Sus scrofa: one gene and its partner. Each later gene encodes a partner of the first gene's protein in a complex. Links are inferred from orthologs where the notes say so. Each region holds a gene or a part of one and is shown on either strand. Other genes may lie near its edges.

Region 1 (3,780 bases):
CCGGAAAGAAAATTCTGCATTGAAAGACTGTCTAACTGCTTAGTAAGTAGTTACCTTAGTGTTTTTGCTGCTGCTGCTGCTGCTGCTGCTGCTGGTGTGTGTGTGTGTGTGTGTGTGTGTGTGTGTGTGTGTGTGTGTGTGTGTGTGTGTGTGTGTGAGAGAGAGAGAGAGAGAGAGGTGTTCTAGGTAAGAGCATAGTATTTAACTCATTACATGTAATATATTCTGTACTTCTTCCCCCACCAAATTCATCATACTGTTGCTAAGTCTAAAACTGTAATTTGTCAAAGATTGTTCTGAAAAAAAAAGGAAATCTCACATATTCACGAAGGGTCTTTTCAGGTTACACGTATTTTTCAGCATTTTATCTGATTAAAATTCTAGGTCTGGACTTCCCTGGTGGCTCAGTGGGTTAAGGATCCAGTGTTGTCACTGCTGTGGCTAAGGTCGCTATTATGGTGCGGGTTTGGTGCCTGGCCTGGGAACCTGTGTGTGCCACAAGCACGGCCAAAACATAAAAGTGCTTCTTATATGTAAGGTTCACTGATGTTTTATTGAATGCAGGTGCTCTCTGCTCATCTCCTCACTCATTGTATTACCCACGTTGTTGGCATTGCAGAGTGTGGTCCTTCAGCGAGTAGTTAGTTGGTAGTCGTCAGCGAGGCCTCACGTTTGGACGGCCCTTCCTTCGTTCCGTGTTCTCCTCCCCTGGCCTGGGAACCATCTATATCAGGATGTTTTGACACTTGTTAGGCAGTTAGGTAAAAAGAAAGTTGTAACTATCTGAATCTTATATTTGTTTTCTTTTTTGATGAGGAATAATGTACATGTTAAGTTTACAGACAATTTTAGAATACTGGCTTGGAAGACCTTAGAGATTATTTAAACTAGTCCCCGCATTTATACATGAGGAAACATATTCTAAGTCCACATATCTTTTCTCCAGTGAATAAGAGATTAAAAGCAATTCTAACAGCTGCTCTTTTTTATGAGCCCGGACCTGCACTAAGCACTTAACTGGAGAAGTAAGAGTTTTGATCCCTGGAGCTTCCAAGAGATGTTTGTTGACTAGAAGCTATTCAGCTGGTGCCAGTCATCATCATCAGCTATGCCTCTTGGTTGGGGTGGGCAGCCCTGGGGCAAAGGGCCCAGGAATGTGGCCAGGAGGGCGGCCAGGCTCGTGTCCTCTGGGTCCCCCAGAGCACAGCACCGCCTCCGTGACATTTGCTGCAGGATACCTGGAGGCCCCCATATGCACACATCGCCCCAGCACAGGGTGCCCAGTAAATGTTAGCTCTGTTTTTCAGTTTGTATTTGTTATTTATTGACTGCTGTTATCTGCATCATAATCATTTGAATGTCCTTCCTTCTCTTGCCCCACGAAGATAGGAAGGTAAAAATGATAGGTTCTGGCCCATCCTGGGAGATGGCTGGGAACACAGAGGGGAGGCCTCCACTTAGGTGGAAGCAGGCAAGGCAACAGGCCATGACTGACATTTGCTGAAATTGAACGGAGGGCTGTTCCCAGAGAATGTGTTATTTGACCTTCATTCTCAACATATGCTAAGAGATGCTCTGCTGTATTTACTGTTGCCGTCCCATGGACGCGCTCCTACCCTCTCATCTCTTCAGTGACCTCTTGAAACACTGATGGTTTGTGTTCTCTTATGTCCCCCGTCTCATCCTCATTTGTTCCTCAGTAAACTGCAGTCTGACTTCTGCCCTCACCCGGTGTAAGCTGCTCTTCCTAAAGCTTCTAGTAGGTATCCTCCCATCCTTTCTAAACTCGACCTCTCTGGAAACCCCTAAGATGCTCTTCGACCTGGCTTCCCTCATTACCCTCTTTTCTCTTCCCTCAGCATCTCTGTCTTTCTCTTCTGGACCTTTTCTTCCTCTCCTCTTCCTTCATGTCGGTTTGCCAGATCTTCTCCTCATTGTCAAATATGACAAAGGTCAGTTTACATCCACGGAATCCAGCTCCTTCCTGTCAATCGTGGATTCATTTCTTGGCTCTCTTCTTCAGGCCCCATACTGGACTTGGCCCTTTGACTCTTGCATCCTGTGTCTTTGTCAATTTCACTCGTCTAGAATCCAGAATCTTCCTGGGCTCCTAATTGTTCATTTCATCTCCTGAGTTACCCCCCAGAGCGATTTCACCCTTCTCATCAGGATGTGCCTCCCTGTGCTCAGGCCCTCTTTGCATCTTGTCTGGGTTAAGGTCCTGGTTTATTTATTGGACACTGCTCTCACCTTGCTGGCCTTTTGCCACAAGTTGTCAGACTTATTCAAGACACAGAATTGATCTCACAGCTGTCATATTAATAGTGCCCATTCGGGTAGATCTGACTTATTAGAGGGGCATGAATGGATCATCATGACCGGGCCTCTGCCATTCTGGCTTCACCTCAGCCCCTTCTTCTGTTGAGAAACTGCTATGCTGGTACTAGTGTACATATAGCTCTTCGCCCGTCAGTGTTTCCTCATCTGTGGGCTTTTCCACATGTGCCTTCTATGTGCATTTTTGTTGGTCCTTCAGAATGTGGTTCAAATATCCCTGGACAGTGTCCTTCTCCTGCTGCTCCCTTGTTTCCATGGTGCGCTGGGCCACGCCTCTGTCTCCCACCCACATGCATCACTGTGACACAGGCCTTGTCTTCTGACATCTTGGACTCCTGAGGACGGTGCCGAGCTTCCTGTTTCTCTCTCCTGGCTATCCAGAAAAAAAAACCTATTAGGTCTTTTTTTTTTTTTTTTCTCCCTTTAATTTGGTAGCTGAATGTTTACAACAAATTTGACCATTATTAAAAATCTGCTACTAAAGATTGTGTCTGATGAACTGGATGTCTGAATGTATTGTGAAAGGGAGCTTATATTATATGCTTGCAAAGTAATTCACTTTAAAAGTTTTTTCTTTCTTATAGCTATAATGATCCAGCCTTTTATGAAGAATGCAAAATGGAATATCTGAAGGAAAGGGAAGAATTCAGAAAAACTGGGATTCCTACCAAGAAAAGACTACAGAAGCTTCCCACAAGCATGTAGGCGAAGTCAAATGATACTCAGGAACCCTAATATCCATGGAAATCACAGTCACCTGAAATAACGGACTTAAGGAAGTGTTTGCTTTACCCTTAATTACGGAAATAATTTTATCTGAAATAAAGTTCTTGCAAACTTCAAAGTTAAGTTTATTAAATAGGATAGGAGTAAGTAGTAAAATGGGATGTGGTCTGCTTGGTCATTATGGATTTTCCATTAACTTTTGCACAACTGTGGTTCTGTAACAGTGACAGCTGATTTCTTAAGTTTCCACATGACTCTTACCTTACTCTCCTCATGTGGCCAGCATTTACTAAAGCAAAGCAGGAATGGACAGCCTTCAGAGGTGTAGTAACTTGGCAGTATAGCATAATGGTTATGAACCTACCATTTATTAGTTAAGCAACTGTGGATATGTCTCATAGTTACCATGAGTATTAACCAAGTACTGCAGGTAAGTAGAGTAGGTAGGACAGTGCCTTGCACATGGTAAGTGCTCTTTGTAGTTATTATCAGTAGTAGTATGAGTATAGTATTTTTAATGGCCACATCTGCAGCATGTGGAAGTTCCTGGACTAGGGGTTGAATCAGAACTGCAGCTGAGGCCTATGCCACAGCCGCAGCAACACCAGATCCGAGCTGCATTTTTGACCTACAGCACCTTAACCCACTGAGCAAGGCCAGGGATCAAACCCACATCCTCAGGGAGAGTCAGGTCCTTAACCTGCTGAGCCACAGCAG
Region 2 (4,423 bases), on another chromosome or scaffold:
AGGAGTGGTTTGCCAAAAGATAGTTGGGGTATTATTAATAGAAAAAGAAGTGGATGCTGGGAGGCTAAAATGACAAATGTGCAGTATACCTGAGTTTTTACATCACATGATATAAAGCAGGCATCGCAGCTTCCCTCTTTGCTATAAAGTCTTCTATCCTCACCCTAACAAGCTCCTGTAAGCACCCGAGGAGCAGTTATCTCACCTACAGTCATCTGTCTTCCTCCTCTGAACTTCTGCAGCCCCCAAGACTCCATCACTCATCAGCAACAGGCTGTGTCGGGTCATTAGCTGTCTTTTTATGTATATGTCCTGTCCCTCCATCCACATGACAGGATCCTGGAGAGCAAGGGTCATGTCTTATTCATCTTTGTGTCCCCCGTGGCACTTTGCCTGATGTTTGGGGCACAGCGGACAGTCCATAAATCTGCTGACAGATTGAATACCTGATTTATATGCTTCTGGAACCACAGAGGTACATAGTAGCTTGACTCAACTACAAAACTACAAAGAAAAGAGGAAACCTGTGACCTCCACACCATTTCCGAAAGATCGTAAATCTTTTCTGCACTAAATAATGATGCTGGGGTCAAGATTTGTTCCCCAGCCCCCAGCTGCTGGTATCATTCTTATTTAAAAACGATTGAGTGAAAGCCCAGGGAATCTTAGTCTCAGCTGTCCAGTACCGCTGGGTGGGTCATATACTGACACAGCCCCCCCCCAGAAACATGAAGGATGGCAATCACAGGAAGAGGAAGCAGATCTGTCCTCAGTGGCTTCCACCCCAGGCAACAAGGCAGAGCCCCAAGGTCCCATTAGTAGAACTGGCTGCTGGCTCCCTGCCCTGCACGGATCTCTATTCCCCATCCTCATTCGTAATCCTGACATCCAACAAAGGGAAGAGGGAGAGAGGAGAGCATGGAAGATCAGAGTCAGAAAAGATTTACTTGTAGTTTGGATGTTGCAATAATATTCCTCCCAAGCTAGCCTTGGTTCAGAAGCCCCTGCTGGCCATCCAGGGTCAGGCGATTTGCATTTGTCTCTAATCCCCTCAAACCGCCCTTAAGGCCAAGCAACTTGTTTAAATCATGCAGCCAAGACAGGATTTCCTCATCTGTAAAAGATATGTGGATTAAATCAATGAGCCCTAGAGAGCATCCACCTCTTGGTGGAGTCATGAAAATCAAACCAGTGGTGGAAGAAGGAAGTTTGGTTGGTAAAGGAGGGAGTGGTAACGAGGTCAGAAGAGTGTGGGTGGAGCGGCTGAGAGGTGAACCCGGTTTAGGGCAGGGGGCGGAACTGAGATCAAGAGCAATAAAAGCTCCACTCTCCATTCTCCCAGCTGGCGCTCGCCCTCCGGAGCCAGGCAGCCAGGCGCTGCCAGGCACCGCCCGGAGGCGGTGCGTGGGGTTACACGCCTCGCCCCTTCCTCCCCTAGTCCCACCCCCGCCCCAGCCCCACCCCCTGCCCTAGCCCCACCCAGTCCTAAGCCCCGCCTTCGGTGCCACCCTTGACCCAACCTCTTCCCGCCCCTGTTCCGCCTCCTAGCCCCGCCCACAAGGCCCGGAAGCAAAAGCCGTTTCTCCACTTCCCAGCCGGGTCACGACCCAGCGGGCAGGAGCCAGGATTGCGAGAGCTCGGTGTCCTCAGCGGGTCAGCGAAGGCCCGGTTCAGAGCCATGTCCACGAATCTGCGCACCGCGCTCATTTTTGGTGGCTTCATCACCCTGATCGGCGCCGCCTTCTACCCCATCTACTTCCGGCCCCTAATGCGGCTGGAGGAGTACCGTGAGTGACCTCTGACCACCACGCGGTGCCCTGGTCCCAGTGACTCCCTCTCTTTCCCCATCCTCTCCACGTGGGGCCTTGGGCAGAGCTTGGCTCGCGAGTCAGGGAGACCTGGGTTCGAATCCTTTGTGTGCAGCTTTGTGACCGTGGACAAGTGACTCCACCTCTTGGGCCCTCACTATCTTCATCAGTAGTTATGTGTTTCTGTAGTATCTTAAAATAAAACCGTCTAGCCTCTGCTGAGACTCAAAGGCAGTCTGCACGTCGTAGGTCAACACTAAATACGAGTTAATATTCATAGCTAACATTCACTGCAGGCTTCTATGTCTCGTTAATGCACATAGGATCTTTTAATTTACACCTTTTTTTGAGGTACATGTTGCTGTCTTACAGACGGGGAAACTGAGACTCAGGTTGTGTAACATGCCCAAAGTCACACAGCTGTTAGCGGCAAGACACGTATTCCAACCCAGGCCTCTGTCTCCAGAATTTCTTCCTTGTACTGAAGCTGGGAAGGTGATATTGGGGGAGGGAGGTGGGCCCTAATTGTCCTGAACTTGCAGATGTGTTTATTGCACTTCATTTCCGCTCCCAAAGATGTCTTTGATCAGAAATGTCTCAGAGCTAAACTGTTAACCTGAGGTTTTGGGTTTTTCCTCTTCTTTCTCCTCAAATCTTCCTTCAGATTCTGCTATCTTCCTTCATTTTAAGCTGGTTACTCACATGACAATGGTGAATATCCTGGGAGTAATTTTCTTCCTTAATCATTCCAGTCCTATCATTCTAAAAGCCACACTCCCCTTCCTTGAGACCTATACCTCAGCAAGGATTAGCACTTTGATACATCTGAAACCATCTGTCAGAGAGAAAATATTAGGCATTAGAGGCTCATTTTGTTCTCCAGGAAACCTGAATCATCTAGAAGATGGAAAAGGGCCAACCTTGCCCCTTGAGAATATCAGTGGAGGCTGTGAGCTTGGTGATTTGAAGGCAAAAGTGCTGTATAAATGCTCTGACCATTACAAATGCTACAACATCTGGTTTCTGAGGCAGAGCGGTTTAAGTACACACTCAAATTTCTTGTAGCTTCTTTTCATCAGTCAAGATTGAAATGGCCTCTGCACCCTGCCTTCCAGCCTATCTATCTACGTGACCACGCGTGACCACGCGTGACCACGCGTGACCACGCGTGACCACGCGTGGGGGTAAACATGGGACCTTGGAAGCCCTGCGTTATCTCTCTGTTTTATCCCTTCTTACTTGGTCCTTGCCCCGGGCTATTGTATTATAGCCCCTAGAGTTGAAGCTGGGACAAGGGAATCTACTTTGGATCCTACTTGAAAAGTTTCAGTTCTGAAGACTAGAGCCGTACCTCTCAACTGGGGATGATTTTTGTCCCCCAGGGGACATTTAGTTCTATCGGGAGACGTTTTTGCTGGTCACAAAATGGGTGGGGTGGGTGGAGTAAGTGTGCTCCTGGCATCTAGTGTATAGAGGCCAGGGTGCTGCTAAACTCTCTGTAATGCACAGGGCAGCCCCCACCCCTTAACAAAGAATTACCCAGCCCAAGATGCGAGTGGTGCCAGTGGTGCTGGGTTGAGAAACCCTTGCTCTAGGGCAGATGATCAAGGTGGGTTTGTGCTGTGTCTCCCAATGACAGTCTTAAAGGAATAGTCCAGGGAGTTCCCATTGTGGCTCAGCTGTTTAAGAACCTAATATCCATGAGAATGAGGGTTTGATCCCTAGCCTTGCTCAGTGGATTAAGGATCCAGCATTGCCACAAGATACAGCATAGGTCGCAGGTGCAGCTCAGATCTGGCACTTGCTGTGGCTGTGCTGTAGGCTGGCAGCTGCAGCTCCAGTTCGACCCCAGCCTGAGAATTTCCATATCTGGCAGGTGCAGCCCTAAAAAAAAAAAGGCGGGATGGGGAGTAGTCCAGAGTCTATGGTTGCCTGAGTCACCTTGAGATAGACAAATGAGGCCTTTAAAGTGAACATTTAGTGCATGTGGCTCCAGTATCTGCATTTTTAACTGTAAGGCATTCTACAGCTGCCTGCTTTTCTGGTTCAATTTTAATTGATTTGAACAACTCTTATCTGAGAGTCATAACTGATTCCTTAAAAAAGTAAATAATACTAAATAGCTAATATTTATTGAAAGCTCTCTTGCAAGCACTTGATATATATTAACCCATTTGGTTTTCATAACAACCCTTTGTGGTAGCTGCTGTGTGACTAGCTCCCTGTTTTATTTTTTAATTCTATTCTATTCTACTCTACTCTAAACTATTTTATTTTTTGTCTTTTCTTTCTTTTTTTAATTTTTTTTGGTCTTTTGTCCTTTTAGGGCCGCGCCCGCAGCATATGGAGGTTCCCAGGCTAGGGGTCTGATCAGAGCTATAACTGCCGGCCTACACCGGTGCCATAGCAACGCAGGATCCGAGCCGTGTCTGCGACCTACACCACAGCTCACAGCAACGCTGGATCCTTAACCCACTGAGCGAGGCCAGGGATCGAACCCACAACCTCCTGGTTCCTAGTCGGATTCGTTAACCACTGCGCCACGATGGGAACTCCCATCATCCCCATTTTATATGTGCACAGACTGAGGTATGGAACAGATAACCTGCATAAGG

What was found.
Region 2: CMC1 (region 1) and SMIM20 share a complex: the UniProt entries of both Homo sapiens proteins name them as parts of the MITRAC (mitochondrial translation regulation assembly intermediate of cytochrome c oxidase complex) complex. The link is inferred for Sus scrofa from reciprocal best matches to the Homo sapiens genes CMC1 and SMIM20.

Annotation. Positions count from the first base shown.
Region 1 is NC_010455.5:14,751,509-14,755,288, forward strand, and holds the end of CMC1 (COX assembly mitochondrial protein homolog), read left to right. Parts: coding exon 1-42; intron 43-2,921; coding exon 2,922-3,042; 3' UTR 3,043-3,181; downstream 3,182-3,780. UniProt on the Homo sapiens protein: Component of the MITRAC (mitochondrial translation regulation assembly intermediate of cytochrome c oxidase complex) complex, that regulates cytochrome c oxidase assembly.
Region 2 is NC_010450.4:19,699,481-19,703,903, forward strand, and holds the start of SMIM20 (small integral membrane protein 20), read left to right. Parts: upstream 1-1,561; 5' UTR 1,562-1,678; coding exon 1,679-1,787; intron 1,788-4,423.